Linked DNA regions of Arabidopsis thaliana. The protein of the gene in region 1 interacts with the protein of each later gene in a pairwise test. Each region holds a gene or a part of one and is shown in the gene's direction. Other genes may lie near its edges.

Region 1 (7,390 bases):
CATTACCTTTTTTCTTTCTGTTATAAATAATGTTTCTTTTGAAATTCTGATTAGATAAGCTGATTGTGAATTTTTTGTTGATAATGTGAAAATACTTAAACAGAAAAAGGAAGGGAAAGCACTTGTAAAATGGACAATGGTAGTGTCATTAAGAGGGACCATGAGAAATCATGAAGTTCAGCTACATTTCCCATGGATTCCTCGGAACCACTTTTTCTAATCTCTCCAAAGATTTAATTAATAAGGTTTAGGAGAGAGATAGAGAGTCATTAGTGTTGAAACTAATCAAAACAAAATCTAAAAATATCTTCATTAAGAAATATGCAATGAATGGATGTATGATGATATATCTGAATATAAACTATAATATCTGAGACAAAGAAAAAAGAATAGTAGTACTAAACAAAGTAGTTGAAATCAGAAAACATAATAACCACAATTCCAAACGCATGAAATGAGAATAGTCCTGCTACTAACTGCTGAGTGGTGTGTCTGTTACATATCAAGATTGGGGACCATATTCTCCTGAGGCGATCATTCATTTGAAACAGTTTTACATTGCTCATTATTTACGAAATCAAATTTTTGTATTTCTAAGAATCCTATGTATTTCAGAAAAATATTCTTATTATGATATCAAGATGTGTTTTATTGATTTTTTTAATATTCAGAAAGTTTCACATCTAAAACAAAACATACAAAAAGGATATAGAAGTTTCACGTCGAAAATCAAATATAATTCTCGGAATCTGTATAACATTGAGTGTCATTAATGTATTAACAATGGTGGAGATCCTTATACTATAAAAGAACTCAATCTCTAACCTTTTTTTTTTTTTTTTTTGTGCAAACTCAATCTCTAACCTAAACCCACAAAAATAAAGGAATCTTCTTCACCAACTTATAATCCAAAATTGTACCACATATACTGTTAAACATCACCACGTATAATTCACAATATCTCAGTTACAGCAGCACTGTTTGGAAAAGCTATTTGTTTTTTGCGATTGTTTCAAAATAAACTATGTAAAGTGATCATATTTAGACAGGGAAGCGAAGATGCATTTGACAAGACTATTGTGAAACTGAATGTACGGAAGCATACAGTATTTGTGCATGCAAGTAGAGAAGAAAGAAGATCACATTTTTGAGATTCTAATCTAACGTACAAATTAGTTGCAGTGCAGTGTAGTTTAGTTCCAGTCCAACACGTACGACGTACTTCTTTTGCTTTACAAATGTTTTTTTTTTTACTTGTAATTTACTCAATTAGAAGAACTTCAAGTCTAACTTAGTTTACTCTTAGTTTTTTTTTTGTAATTTTTCAACAGCTGTTTGATTGTTTCTATTTGGGTAATTAAAATACGTATTTTTAATTTTCAATATACGAGTTTCTTTATCGGCTACAACTACATAATATACGATGTTTTGACCGTATTGTTTTTGGGGTCAAACCATTTTGTTCCTATTTAAAAGAACTATAAAGAGTGACGAACCCTGGAAACAAAATCAAAGTCATAGAAAAATATCAATCCATCGAATATTAAATATACTTCAAGTAGTTAGTTGATAGATGAAGATCGACCGACGAGAGGCTTTATCTTCCATGCTTTTCGTAGGTTTACTCATGAAAGATACGAGATGGTGAGAGGTCTCTCTTCTCATTTATGTCCTCTATACTAACAAAAAAAAACTCAAAAACACTTATCGAATTCAATTAAATTTTTAGCATATCTATTAATAAGTCTCTTTCATTTGTCCCCATATATTTCGGGTAATTAATTTATTATCTATGAATCATCGTTGTCATTGCAACGCATGCCAATTATTTTTTTTCTATCATTCGATTATAAACTCGAACAGTATAGAACTGTCCTCCATTCGATTTCAAGAAACATCAACAGTTCTTCAAATGAAACGTGGCAAAAATATTAGAACAATGCAGAAATGGTCTGTAAGTAGATTTTGTTTGCCTTCATTTCTTCTTCCATTAATAAATTGTTGAGCTGCTCTACGAGTAATTAGTTCCAAACTCTATTTCAACTTTTTATTTTATCCAAAAGATGAGTGAGATTCTATATATTTACCACGTAAGCAACTTTTTTGTTGATGTGAGATTAACATTTCACAAAAAACCATATTTTTATTGATTATTTTCTACTTATATCCTGTATTCCAAAAAGAATACAACAAGTTGCCAAAAAAGAACAACGTTAAACTTTACAACATAAAATTTTGTCTTTTAAGTAAAGATATTTTCTTTAATATAACTAAATCGTTCAAATAATAAATCTTGAAATGTTCTCCAATTCCTTCTGGAATATCAATTCACACAAAAAAGTGAATTGTGTATTTTTTTTTTTTTTAATTACTCGTTTAACCTAAAAAAATATTGATGGCCAATTTCAGAAAATATCCGTATATTTGGAAAATTTACAAAAATAAAAAAAAAGCTTCATTTTTAATTATTTTTTCACAAAATTTTAGCTTATTTTTCATTTAGAGAGAGAGAAAGAGAGTAGTAGGGAAAAAGCAAGAAAAAACGGAAGAGCTGAAAAAGCAGAGAGAGTGATGAAAAGAACAGCTTCGTTGTCACTTGTCATTCTATAAATCGCATCCCCATTGACAACCTTTCACTTCCATCAAAACTCTCTCTCTATATCTCTCTCTCTATATATCTCTCTCTATATCTCTCTCTCTCTTCACTCTCTCTTTCTTTCAAAATGGAAAAACTCATGGTTCCGACATGGAGACCCGACCCGGTTTACCGTCCACCGGAAACACCACTCGAACCGATGGAGTTTTTAGCTCGTTCATGGAGCGTCTCTGCTCTCGAAGTCTCCAAGGCTCTAACACCACCCAACCCTCAGATTCTCCTCTCCAAAACCGAAGAAGAAGAAGAAGAAGAACCCATCTCCTCTGTCGTAGACGGCGACGGCGACACGGAAGACACCGGACTTGTCACCGGAAACCCATTCTCCTTCGCTTGTTCAGAAACTTCTCAAATGGTCATGGATCGTATCTTGTCTCACTCTGTAAGTCTTTTCTTCAGATAAAAACAGAGCATTTCCGGACAAAACAAAGCATTCTTTTTTTTTTTACTTTCGATGTTGACAAATTTTATTTTGTTTCTTTCATCAGAATTTCCCAAATATGGTCAATCAAAGTTTTAATTTTTAGCAAATTATGTTCATGAATCTCTCTTTATTAAGTGTGATTAATGAAGAGAAAATTTTCACGCGCAATAATTATAACTATTAATCAAGAAAAAAAGTTACGATTTTTATCTACACACTCGCTTTCTGGGTCCCTAAAAACATAATAACAAGTTTATGGATTTGTCATCATCTCTTCTTCTTGATTCTACTTTTGTCTCATCTTCTTTAATAATTTTGTTTGCAGCAAGAAGTATCACCAAGAACATCTGGTCGGCTATCTCACAGTAGTGGTCCACTTAATGGTTCTTTGACCGACAGTCCTCCTGTGTCTCCTCCCGAATCCGACGACATTAAGGTTCCAATTTCTTGACCAAAACTGTATTTAGTTTTGATACTAAAGCATGTTCTGGGTTTCTGAGTTTTGGTGTTACTCTCTATGTAAATGTTTCAATTTTTACTGCGTCACTGACAATTTTGGGTACAATGAGAGACTGTGAAAATAAAAAAAGAATCTTCACTAGAAGCTTTCTCTTTATCCAACCATACCCAGAGATCATGTCTTTCTCCCACTACTGTTTCCGATGATTCTTCATCATTTCAATTCAATTTTATAATTATTCCTTAAACCCATTAACGAATTGTTGGTTTTCTTAATTAAATAAGTATTATTTAGTGACACTTTGGTCTAAAGCAATCTCCTTTACTTGATTTGGTTTTGTCTTTTTCTTGTTCATCACTCTTCTTCCAAAAACATTTCCTTTTTTAGATTTTGCTTCACTCTTCTGGGTTCTGGCGAATCTCTGATACTAAAACTCAAATTTTTAATCTTAAAATGCAGCAATTTTGCAGAGCGAACAAAAATTCATTGAACAGTGTAAATTCTCAGTTCCGTTCAACGGCGGCAACTCCGGGACCTATAACCGCTACAGCTACACAGTCCAAGACGGTGGGACGGTGGCTTAAGGACCGGAGAGAGAAAAAGAAAGAGGAGACTCGGGCTCATAACGCTCAGATTCACGCTGCTGTCTCTGTCGCCGGCGTTGCTGCAGCTGTTGCTGCTATTGCAGCAGCCACCGCTGCGTCTTCTAGCTGTGGTAAGGATGAGCAGATGGCTAAAACTGACATGGCCGTTGCTTCTGCTGCGACCCTTGTGGCTGCTCAGTGTGTGGAAGCTGCTGAAGTTATGGGAGCTGAGAGAGAGTATTTGGCTTCTGTTGTTAGCTCCGCCGTCAATGTTCGTTCTGCCGGAGATATTATGACTCTCACCGCCGGAGCAGCTACAGGTTTGTTTAGTACAGAGTTTTGATAAAGTTTGGAACTTTCAAAAGAAAACGCTAAAATTGATTGACTTTAGGTTGAAACATGTTTAATACTTCTTGACCCTGTAATGAGAATTGCTAAAGTTTTGATTTTGTTGAAGATAATGATAGCATTGATTTAGGGATTGGCTCAAAATTGGAACTTTATGAAGGAATCAGAAGTTAATTTTTGGTAATTTGATTTGTATTTTTGGTGTGTAGCTTTAAGAGGAGTGCAAACATTGAAGGCAAGGGCAATGAAGGAAGTGTGGAACATAGCATCAGTGATACCAATGGATAAAGGACTCACTTCTACAGGAGGAAGCAGCAATAATGTTAATGGTAGCAATGGAAGCTCAAGCAGTAGTCACAGTGGTGAACTTGTACAACAGGAGAATTTCTTGGGAACTTGTAGTAGAGAATGGCTCGCTAGAGGTTGTGAACTCCTCAAACGCACTCGCAAAGGTAAGAAAAATTCAAACTTGTGTATTTAAAAGTTTAAATTTTAGTTGTTGAATCTTTTGTCTAATGATGTGTGACTTTTGCAGGTGATCTCCACTGGAAGATAGTATCTGTTTACATCAACAAAATGAATCAGGTAAAGATTCTTTTTCTTATTGTGCCTCGAGTTTCGTTTCACTTTAGGAAATGATCGTTGTTGATCTGATGAAAAAGATTAAAGAGAGCCAAATTATTTGTGAATCAGTGGGAATCTTTAGTTACTTCACATGGATGTTAACTTTGTTATATGAAACACACAAAAAGATGAGAAAAGAGAAATTTCAAACGGCAGGAAAAGAAGAGAAAGTAGAAACAATACTAAAGCTTAAAAATAAAAAGCACTGTTTTGATAATGATGATGATACTGAAATCATGGGATCCACTTTTGTCTTTGCTGCTTAAGCATCTCTTACAGAATCACTAATTTGTTTTGATTTATTGAACTTATAGGTTATGTTGAAGATGAAGAGCAGGCATGTTGGAGGAACCTTCACCAAGAAGAAAAAGAGTAAGTGATTATTTACTCTTTTTACATACTATAAGTATAACACCACTTTAAACCCTGAATAGTTTGGTTGGAGATTTCTCTAATTCCTTCCAAGACATTTCAGATGATTCTTCTAATGGGTTTAAAAACAAAGAATGTTTCTTTAGTTTGATATTGAAAGCTTTACTTTTTGTCACTATCTACTGTCAATGAGTCAATTATATGTGAACCTGGTAAAGAGAATTCAAAACTTTGAGGTGGGTCTGCTTTAGATATGGGGATTTGAGACGAGAAAAGGAAAAAAAATTGAAAAAGCAAAAGTGTATATGTGACTAAAGTAACTATAGGATCAAATCCCTTCAATCTTTTACTTTTTGTCTTGCTTTTGAATGTGAACTTGAAGAAGACTCTTCTATTAATTATTTTACTATCTTTCCAATTTTGTTACAGACATTGTGCTTGATGTGATCAAGAATGTCCCGGCCTGGCCTGGACGACATTTGCTAGAGGGAGGAGATGATCTAAGATACTTCGGTTTGAAGACGGTTATGCGAGGTGATGTTGAATTCGAGGTCAAGAGCCAAAGGGAATATGAAATGTGGACACAAGGTGTCTCAAGGCTTCTTGTTCTTGCTGCTGAGAGGAAGTTTAGGATGTGAATAAACGTTCAATGGCTGCTTGGTTTAAGTGTGAGTTTTTTTTTAACTTATGTGGTCAAATTTCATTAGTAGGGGTTCTTTTAAGGTAATGGTTTTTTGGGTTGGGTATAGGATAAAATGGACCTACCAGTCAAGGTGAGGAAGCATTTGGGTAAACAAAACTTAGTGGGGGTGATCTGTAATATCTATGTTCTTAGTTTTTTTTTGGTTGTTGGTGGTCTTTTTGTATAAAAAAACAAAGTTGAAGTAATAGATATATAGTATGTTTTAATTTTAAAATTGATGGGTCCAATTTCAATATTTTATTGGGAACAACATCAAATATGCTTCTTTTTTGTCCCATTATTGTTGTAATATCTATCCATTGATTGACCAAAGAAGCTGCCTATATTTCTAAACTCACAAGGAGACAAATAAATCATTAAGGATTGTTTGCTTATGTAGAATGTTTTGGACCTTTGGTATTGTTAACAACTTAATCAAGCCATAAACATGTGTTCTTAATATTCGATAAATCTATGTCTGGAATAAGTAGAATACTATAGGAGATTGAGATTCATAACGTTCAGTTGCTTATAATGCCGAGGAGACTGAGGAAGAGATTCATAACGTCGAGGTATAGACGAATCGCTGCAGTGATATATTCGTCGTAGTTGAGTTTCTTGATCAGCTGATTGGTGTCGAAGATGATGTATCCGCAGAACACTATTGAAGCTATTCCGCTGAATATCATCGATGATAGCTTCCCCAGAGGGTGGAATATCTGCATTCATTTCATTGTTTAGCTTTGTGATAATATATCCCAAAACTTTGAATAGATTGAGAGTTACTGAGTTAGTACCTGCAAAAGGGTGAAGACAAGGATAATGAGGAGAGCACCAAAGAGGAATGGTCCAAGGAAGGAGAAATCATGTCCTCTCTTCACTGCCCAGAAGGTGTAGATCGTTAGACCAAAGACCATCACAGCTGTGAGAATTGCAGCCTCCAGAACAATCCTCCCTGTTTTCACAATACTTGGAAATTAGATTCTAACCAAATGGTGTAACTCTAGTTATAGGAAACAGAGTTAATAAGTTGCTTGACAAAAAAGCATGAAAGCATCTCATGCCATGTTCCTCTTTTTCATGATTCACCATGTTAAAGCCAACAAGATACTAAATTTCAACTTTTATGGTTAAGAAAACAGTACTATCTAATCAATATCACACCAACACTAGTGTTGGTTGATTATTTCAAGCAGAGAACAATCCAAGGCAAAATATGACAAATGGTTTGTCTTTTAACAAC
Region 2 (4,753 bases), on another chromosome or scaffold:
TGAATAACTTTGAAACTTTTTTGGTATGTTATGTTTACATATGGGAAACTAAAAGCCATGTATCCATATTTCCCTATATATACACTTGAACGTTGACCAAAAAATATATACATATGTTAATTTTGGTAAAACATTAAAAACACAATTAATATGAATAGTTTAGATAGTCTTTGACTCGAATTCGTTTATTTATACTGAAAAGTATCATTGATATAAACTAGGTAAACTAAAAATAACTTAGCAATGGCATTACGTCTAGCTTTAAGTCTATGTGTTTATCTGCTGTTTACACAAGGTGCACAGGGAAACACTGATGTGAGACCCTTGCTTATGCTTGTTTGTTCTATCCTCTAAAGATTTCCATTCTTATATTTAGAATTTTTCTCTAATTTGTGTGTTCAACCAATTTTATAGGATTTTGATTGTGTGGAAATATACAAACAACCAGCTTTCCAACATCCATTGTTGAAAGATCACAAGATCCAGGTAACGTAGCATATATCGTTGGGCAAAATATTTGAGTTTCGAAATCTAATCCGACCTAGAAATTATCTAGATTTTTTCATATTAGAATTAGATCTCGCATATTCTATTTATTTTATAAAAGTAGAGTTCAAAGTTTATGTATGATAAGTAACTTTTGTTATAGTCAAGGATGGGTATTCCTAAGAAACTTTTGGATGAATATGTTAATGTTAGTTTATAAATTTATAAAATGTGAATAAAATAGTTGTGGTTAATCAAATATGAAAATAGGACTTCGGGAGACATCAAAACTGACGAATCTTATTCTTCCTTTGTTACTTGTGGTATAATGTAGGAAACATTCAGCCTAGATGGAAAAATTGAAAGAAGCAACAAATATAATACAAAAGAGCATTGTCCAAAAGGAACCGTTGCAATTTTGAGACAAAGAAATGTATCCAAGGGCGTTCATTTGAATACCGCCGAGTATTCTGGTCAACATGTATGTCTTCTCCTAATCTTGGTTTTTGAAAGGAGTTACAAAATTTCATCTAGTTGTTAAGACATTCTAATAATCTATTCGTTTTACGTAAAATTAAAGGAGAACATCAAAACATCCGATTGTTATTCATGCAAAATATATATTATAGATGAAAATTAAACTAACATATTGATGAAATTTGCAGTTTGCAACAATTGAGACCATTTTAGATGGAAGTATATATCGGGGAGCAGAAGCTGATATAAGTATTCATGATTTGAAACTGCAAAATAACCAATACAGTAAAAGTCAAATATGGTTAGAGAATGGACCTCCAGGTCAACTCAATAGTATACAAGCTGGTTTGGCAGTAAGTCAGTTCTATCAAACTTGCTAAAGATTTTGCGTTCCATAATCTGTTTTTTTTTTAACATACATAATCTTTTTTATATTTATTTCTGTTTAGGTACATCCAAGATTGTACGGTGATAGTGTCACACGATTTACAATATATTGGACTGTGAGTAATTTTTAGCTACTCTTATTCTTTTAAGAACATTATTAATCAGCTTAGAGTAAAAAAATAAAATAAGAGATCAAAACGTCTTTCATTATTTTACATGTGTAACAAATATTATTATATGTAGGGAGATGGTTATCAGAAAACTGGGTGCTATAATACACAATGCCCTGGCTTTGTGGTTGTAAGTCGAAATTCAAGAATTGGAAGCGGATTTTGGGGAACATCTGTCTATGGTAAAACAAGTCTTACGTTTAAATTGCAAGTTTTTCAGGTAAATTTCTGTTTATCCTTTTTAAGAAAAAGATTTATATAATTAGTTTAGACTTTAGATGAACTTATCATATTACACCATACTTGTTGGAGTATTTAGTTTTCATTTTTTCTTTTGTTTTATATGTATTAGGATGGCTTCAGCGGAAATTGGGCACTTAAAATGTTTGATGAAGTCATTGGTTATTGGCCTAAAGAGTTATTTTCACATTTGAATAATGGAGCTTCTCTAGTAAGATATGGAGGAAATACTTTTGAATCTCCCGATGGAATCAGTCCTCCAATGGGCAATGGGTTTTTTCCAGTTGCGGACTTTAAAAAGACGGCACATTTTAATAACGTCGTTGTTATAAACTCGGACTATAAAAGAGTTTACATTGAAGGTAGGAAAATACGACTTTATGTCGATTCCTATAATTGTTTTAGGGCGACATATTGGGGTTATACCAAATCTACAGGAGAAGCCTTTTCATTTGGAGGACCAGGTGGAAATTGTGGTTTTTGATGATTTGATAATATATATATATATATATATATATATATCAACCAAATTGTATCAAATTTCAAATAAGAATAAAATCATCTAATCTATTCATATTTTCTTACTGAAAAGTATGTAAATAATAAAACATGATCATCACTAAAACCAAAACTTTACAAGAGAAGGTGGAAACATCATCAACGTTTTGGTCTGAGACTCTGAGTGATACCAATGGTATCATACCATACCAAACGAATTATCATCTCTCATTCAAATGGGCCTCATATTTAGACATGATAAGGCCCATTAATAACAAATTACAAGCCCAATTTGTTTTACTCTCTTTCGTTTTCTTCAATCGTATCCATAAACCCTAGTCTCGTCGTCTTCGTCGATCATCGCCGGGAAACCACACCAGTCTCAATGGCGAAAACTCTATCCCGATCCACCGCCTCATGCGTCGCTAAGCGTTTCTTTTCCACCTCCAATGCCGTCGCCTCTCCTTCTCCGCTTCCTTCTCATCTCATCTCTCGTCGATTCTCACCGACGATCTTCCACGCCGTCGGATACATCCCAGCTTTGACCCGCTTCACAACGATCCGGACCCGGATGGATAGGTCTGGCGGCTCATATTCGCCGCTTAAATCCGGATCAAACTTCAGCGATCGACCACCCACTGAAATGGCACCTCTATTTCCTGGTTGCGATTACGAGCATTGGCTTATCGTCATGGAGAAGCCCGGAGGTGAAAATGCTCAGAAACAGCAAATGATCGATTGCTATGTTCAAACCCTAGCTAAAATTGTTGGCAGGTGAGTGTCTTTGTCATGTTCGTTAGTGTTATTCCTCAGCTACTTCACTATAACAAACTGAATCTGATTGTTGTTTGGTTTAATAGTGAGGAAGAGGCTAGAAAGAAGATCTATAATGTTTCGTGTGAGAGGTATTTTGGGTTTGGCTGTGAGATTGATGAGGAGACATCAAACAAACTCGAAGGTATCTTTTTGTAACACTTGTTGTGTATGATACTGTAGCATAGCACCCGATGATGTGAATGTAATTGATGGAATTGGGTCTTTTGTGAGTTTCAGGACTTCCTGGTGTTCTGTTCGTGCTTCCGGACTCTTATGTTGATCCAGAGTTCAAAGATTACGGAGGTAAGTAGTATCATCAACTTTGTTCTGCATTTTCTTAATGTCCTTTGTCATAATCATAATCATCAAGAACTTGTCTGATCAAAGTCTGGTTTGCATCACTCTTAAGTAAACACTGAAACTTAACTGCATTTTCAAGCAAACAATATTCTGTGATGATGCATTTGTTCGTATGTATGAAAGATTGAACTTGCTAAGGGCTTCTCTGGTTTATGTACATAAAATTTTGTTGATTCTATCAGTTTAGCTTATAAACTCATTGCTGAATGTTTGTTATGCAAATGTAGCTGAACTGTTTGTGAATGGAGAAGTAGTTCCTCGTCCACCAGAGAGACAGAGGAGGATGGTGGAGTTAACGAATCAAAGAGGGTCGGATAAACCAAAGTACCATGACCGAATCAGAAATGTCCGACGGAGGGAGAACATGCGTTGACTCTTATTATTCTCAGACTTTACGCTAGAGCAATCATTTCGATTTGATCTCCGATGCTTTTTTTTGTTGGTTTGTTCTTTTAATTTGCTAGACTCTTAATGAATAATGTATATGATGGTGTTTTGGTGATATCGAATGTATCAATTGTTTCTGCAACTAATTTTCATCTCTCCATTAATCTCAATAATTGTCAAAAGATTCAACTCCTGACCCCAACCTTCAAGTAAAATAGTATTCGACTCAGCCCGTGCCTATGACATAAGAAAATAAACTTTGGCCTACGACCTTTAGCGAAAAAACAAAGACACTAGCGCTCCAGTGTTGTCCAGATATTATGTTGATCCAGAGTACAATGATTATGGAGGTAAGTGGATCAACACGGTTCTGCATTTTCATAAGTCTGTGTATTCATTGATCATTTCTTTGATGCCATGTGTCATAATCCTTGGAGAAAATTTCGGATCGAAGTCTTTTTTTTGGTACCATCTTTTGTAGTTCTGTGAGTTGATCTTTTTAGGTGATATCAATATACAAATTGTTTCTGCATCTATTGTTAAATATTATCCAAAAAATTCTTCACTTATCAATCTTTCTTGTGAAGAAACGAATTAATAATATGTTATTGATCATTATTTTTGTTCTTAGTAAAAGTAGAGAGACATTTGCTTTAAAAACACCCAAAAAATCATATAAATTGAACTGAGTTCGTCTGTAGTATGTGTACAATGTAAGCAAAGATAAAACTAAGTTTGTGATAAACAAAAACAAAGGTAATCATCATCATCCCAAGATTCCCAACTTTTGACCTATTAAAATCCCACAGAGAAAAAACCCCTATAAATCTTTCTTTCTTCTAAAAGCTCCTTTAGTGTTTTACGCATCTATTCTGCTGCGTCTATTCCACTGTAGGCTCTGAAGTTTTAAGCTTCTTTCAAAGGTACAGACT
Region 3 (4,616 bases), on another chromosome or scaffold:
GGATCATGAAGGTCGTTCCCAGCAATCACTTGTGATCGACACTCCAAAGTTCCACAAGCGGTACTTCTTGCCTTGTAAGTTTCGACTCTCCAAAGTTCCCTATATGTTTCTACAAACTTTCGTTCTCTTATTTGTCGGTTTTGGGACTCAGCTAACAAAAACGAAATTCTCTATCAGCTGGTGAAATCAAAAGAGGTGGCAACCTCGCAAAGCTTAAGAATGTTGAAGGTAGTTTTGATGGAGAAGATGACTGGAACCAATTCAGAAATGGTATAAATTGCCATTTCATTTACTTAGAAATTGCCTTGATTCTTGATTTGATATGTTTCTTGTTGTGAATTCTTAAAGCTGTTCGCGCTACAATTCGTGAAACGCCTCCACCACCTGTTAGGTATAGTCCAGTACTCATAGTGAGTTCCCTTGTCAAATGACCGAGAAGTACTAAACTTTTATCGCTTTTTGCAGAAAACCGATACTTCAGTCTCCCTCTCAACGGAAACCTCAACGTTCAGCAACCTTTTCGTTCTCCTCTATCGCCACCGCACCAAAGAAAGAACAAGGTAAAAGACAGCTTCACCTTGAAATTGCCGTTTTTGGCTTAATATGTAAACAGAACCTTTAAACAGTGTGCATGGTAAAATAGATAAGCGAGCAGTATCACCACATCGGTTTCCGCTGCTAAGATCTGGTTCGGTTGCTATCCGACCGTCATCAATCAGCCGGCCAACAACCCCGAGCAAGAGTAGAGCGGTAACTCCAACTCCTAAACGGGTAAGCTTCGGTTACATTTCAAAAACACTCACTTCTAGGCTCTATCTCTAACGGTTGATTCTTGATATTTTCTGGCTCAGTATCCGTCAGAACCAAGAAGATCGGCTTCGGTTCGGGTTGCGTTCGAGAAAGAAGCTCAGAAAGAACCAGAGCATCAACAACAACCGAGCAAGAGCAAACGGCTGCTAAAGGCGCTACTTAGCCGACGCAAAACAAAGAAGGACGATACGCTCTACACTTATTTGGACGAATATTAAACCGAAAGCTGGTTTTGTATGTTGACTGGTAAACCGGAAATTACATTCCAGTTTTAATTGCATTTACGTAATGTCAAATTGTCAATATATGTGTTACAAAATATGTCCATGATTCTATGATTTTGTGTATACCTTATGACTGTCAGAGTGTGAATGCAGTTTTGTTTACAAGCGTAGTAAAACTTGCTGTGAATTATTTTACTGCCGATTTTAACCAAATTAACAGCAAGTTTATATATACAATTTCGTTCTCGAAATATTATTTGACAGTTTAATATATATTTTGCATCAATTACTGTTGCAAGAATAATTATGTTTTTGAAACTTTTGCTTTTATTTATCCAGTTTTTGAAATTGATTAAGAATGTTTGAGACTAATCCTCCCTTTTTTCTTTTTTTTTTTTTAAGCCGTGGTAATGTGGTATTCGTTCGGTAAATCTACCTATTCAAAAAGATAGTATCATCGACTTTTCTGTTGTATTAACTTACCATTTACAAATATTACATTAATTAATTTGAAACAAGTCAAATTTATTGTCACCAAGAATGAAGTACACGTATACAGATAAAAATAAAGAAGAAAAAAACAGAGACAACTTTTCCGGAGATTTTACTTTAGAAAGCAAAGAAAACTAAATCAAACCAAGCCTTCAAAAATTAGGTAGCTCTTATAAACCGGATCATAAAACCAAACATCAAAACATATGTATGCTCTTTCAAAACATGGTACCAACTCACGAGTCTTTTCATCAGGGCCGATTCTCACCATCACTCAATGGTCTAGACACCATCAGTTTGGGGTTCAACTTCTGATCTTTTGGGTGGTGGTGGAGGTGGTGATCTGTCGTAATGCTCAGCAACAAGTGAACGATGAGAAGAAGGAAGAAAAACCTGACGAGACTCCATCGATGGAAAATAAGATGATGGTACATTATCGTCAAGAAGTTTCCGGTTGGTTTGAGCATGCCCGATCATGATCATAGCTAAGAGAACACAACATATTAAGAGATGATTCCTAGAAGCCATTTTCTCATCCGGTGATCGATAGAGTTAATTTCTTTGCTTATCAACTATGTTGAGGTTCCATCTTGTAATGTCTTATGTATATACATAGCTCACAAAGTCACAATAGAGGGTTCCCACTAACTATTATTAGATTGATTGATTTCTGAAAAATATTATTTTTGTGTACCAAGTAAAATTATATGATTTTAGATTTGTTGTTAGTTTTGATTTGTTTTAGATTTTTTTTTTGTGCAAGTTGAATTATTATTGTATAGATAAAATGACGAGAAAAAAAAATGCCCGGTTCGGTTAGGAATGATTTGTCCAAATACGAACACAACCAAAGATAAACCATTAAACCGAACCGGAGAAGCTTACATATAAAATAGGATCCGGTTCTATCTATTCACTGTGTATCAATGGCTTCCTTCACCTGTTCTTCTCCATCTTCGATTTTACCTGTAAAAATCCCTCCTTTGCTTCTCTCATAATCATCCTTTGATGTCAATGTGATTTCTCATTTTCAATTATTGTATATTCAGATTATTGATACGAGAAGTGGGAATTTGCGATGCACATTTCAGTCTCAGGTTTTGAATGGTTGATATATATACGAATTTGTGGGTTTTTGGGGGAGAGTTTTGAGTGAATCTGGTTGATTTTTTCAGGTTTCTTGTGGGATTCAGAGAGATGATAATGGACGCCGTGTTTGGCGGAGGAGAACATTGGTAAGTACTAAACTTGATATTTTGGTGATTTTCCAGTTTCATGTTTATGACATAAGTCGAATCAGGAATCAAAATAAGGGTTTTTCTTTGCTTGGAGACGACATTTCTAAAAAGTTGCAATTTTTAGTAGGATCACAGATTAGCTTTAACTCACTGATGAGGCATGACTATTAACTCTAGTTAGTCTTTACTTAGTCATAGTAATTGATATGATGCATAGAAGGAGAGATGGAGATTGTCTTCTCTGAGTTTTTGCGATTTCTAGTTTACCCTTCTTGATTCCAAATTAGCTTACACACCTGTTTCAAAAGTGTCTTTGTTGAACTATGCTCATTTCAGACGCTAGCTTTAGTTCTTATACTGTTGATGAACTTAAAGAAACATGGCTTTTTACCTCTAGTTAGTGTTTACTTATATATATTCAAGTAACCATGGTCTTATCTCTATGGCACATGCAAGAAATTGGAGATTGTCTTATCTGAGATACTGGGATTTTTAGGTGGGAGTTACACATTACATAAAATATTAGTGTGATCTTTTTACTTGTACTATATTCTACAAACTATCAGTTTCTGTTGTTTGATCCTATCAGGTTCATGAGGTTTTGAGATTTCAATAATTACCAAAGCCAGAACAATGCAAAATCTTTGTTTATATTTGTCCCGCTTTTAATCTCTCTATGTCGTTCTCCTGTTTTGTCTGTAGACGAAGAAGGACGATATGTTGCGTTACAAAATGCAAAGAGTTCCATTTGTGGAAGAACAAGTAAGGAAGATAAGAGAAGTTGGGAAGGTAATGACAATGGACATAGAGCAGCTTCTTTTGAGGGAAGACAATCGGTTTGAATTTGTCAATAGCGTAGCAGCTGAAGCAACAGAGTACGTGGACAAGAACAGAGACGAATATGGAGGTTCCAAAAAAGCCATCTTTCATGTTCTAAGCAACCGTGTGAACGATCTCGGCTTTGATCGCCCTGAGGCTTATGTAGAAGCTGATCCTTACAAACCCGGTCCTGGCTATTTGTTGGAGTACTACACTTGATATATTATAACAAAAAGTGTCAATGTACTTTACAGCTTTTGTTCTTGTATTACCAAAACCAAATCAATGCATTCACAGCTTTGTTGTTTTCTTGGCCAAATTTCATTTTATTTATTTAGATTTACTAGATGAAGACGAAAGTCTAATGACAAGAGTTTAGTAAAAGTAACGGTCTAGTGATTTGTGGTGAAAGGAGGTCGTCGTGTCGGTGGAGGAGGAGGAGGAGGTACATATGGCATTGGTCGTTTTGGGATTGGTCTTGGAGACCAGTCCCCATAGTCTTCTTTGTTATAGACAGTTGGTTCCTTTGTCACAACCTCATCAACCTTTCAAAACCAAACTCATACACTATTAAAAAAGGAAGACACTTTTCGTAATACTTCATTTTTGCTATAGGGCACGTACTTGTGTTCCTGGAATTGTAGGGTCGGATGGCTTGGGAGGTCTTAGATGCGGCCCAGCGTAGTCCATCTCCAGATCGATTCTTCTTCCATTCATGACCATCTCTTTAACCTTTTTAAATCAACAAGTTTTATATCTTTTTGTTTTTAGTTTTGATGCATATTTGTAATCAAATATATAACGCTTTTAGAACCGTGATTGTTAATACCTTGCGGTTGATGTTGTCATGATGCAAAGTCTCAACGATCCCTAACAAAAATATGAAGCATATTTATTCAATTCGGAGTTCTATATTGACCTATATAAAATGTTAAAGCTACTATAAGTTTGCATATGTTAGTTGATCAGATCTATATACCTGAAGAAAACATTGGGAGAACGAGCAAGAAAGATACTAGTATCACTAGCTTCA

The links.
Region 2: the proteins of AT4G14740 (region 1) and MORF6 interact in a two-hybrid assay, tested with the Arabidopsis thaliana proteins (one large-scale study listed by BioGRID).
Region 3: the proteins of AT4G14740 (region 1) and PTAC7 interact in a two-hybrid assay, tested with the Arabidopsis thaliana proteins (one large-scale study listed by BioGRID).

What each region holds. Positions count from the first base shown.
Region 1 is NC_003075.7:8,449,280-8,456,669, reverse strand, and holds AT4G14740 (auxin canalization protein (DUF828)), read left to right. Parts: upstream 1-2,510; 5' UTR 2,511-2,723; coding exon 2,724-3,035; intron 3,036-3,402; coding exon 3,403-3,513; exon of another isoform or gene 3,514-3,990; coding exon of another isoform or gene 3,991-3,996; coding exon 3,997-4,441; intron 4,442-4,678; coding exon 4,679-4,921; intron 4,922-5,004; coding exon 5,005-5,054; intron 5,055-5,407; coding exon 5,408-5,465; coding exon of another isoform or gene 5,466-5,473; exon of another isoform or gene 5,474-5,894; coding exon 5,895-6,103; 3' UTR 6,104-6,133; exon of another isoform or gene 6,134-6,214; 3' UTR 6,215-6,512; downstream 6,513-7,390. Other genes in the region: AT4G14730 (Bax inhibitor-1 family protein), read right to left, coding at 6,669-6,866, 6,945-7,102.
Region 2 is NC_003071.7:14,844,153-14,848,905, reverse strand, and holds MORF6 (plastid developmental protein DAG), read left to right. Parts: upstream 1-2,546; 5' UTR 2,547-2,643; coding exon 2,644-3,032; intron 3,033-3,118; coding exon 3,119-3,216; intron 3,217-3,311; coding exon 3,312-3,377; intron 3,378-3,661; coding exon 3,662-3,807; 3' UTR 3,808-4,010; downstream 4,011-4,753. Other genes in the region: AT2G35250 (NEP-interacting protein, putative (DUF239)), read left to right, coding at 244-315, 415-486, 821-967, 1,152-1,316, 1,413-1,466, 1,594-1,740, 1,873-2,244. UniProt on the Arabidopsis thaliana protein: Involved in organellar RNA editing. Required for the processing of few RNA editing sites in mitochondria.
Region 3 is NC_003076.8:8,275,298-8,279,913, forward strand, and holds PTAC7 (plastid transcriptionally active7), read left to right. Parts: upstream 1-2,402; 5' UTR 2,403-2,452; coding exon 2,453-2,494; intron 2,495-2,575; coding exon 2,576-2,623; intron 2,624-2,701; coding exon 2,702-2,785; intron 2,786-3,466; coding exon 3,467-3,802; 3' UTR 3,803-3,897; downstream 3,898-4,616. Other genes in the region: ABIL3 (ABL interactor-like protein 3), read left to right, coding at 1-74, 178-270, 349-391, 466-560, 644-771, 852-1,028; AT5G24313 (uncharacterized protein), read right to left, coding at 1,809-2,054; AT5G24316 (proline-rich family protein), read right to left, coding at 3,976-4,128, 4,208-4,315, 4,413-4,453, 4,563-4,616. UniProt on the Arabidopsis thaliana protein: Essential for chloroplast development, especially for thylakoid formation. Involved in plastid gene expression, probably by maintaining plastid-encoded RNA polymerase (PEP) activity.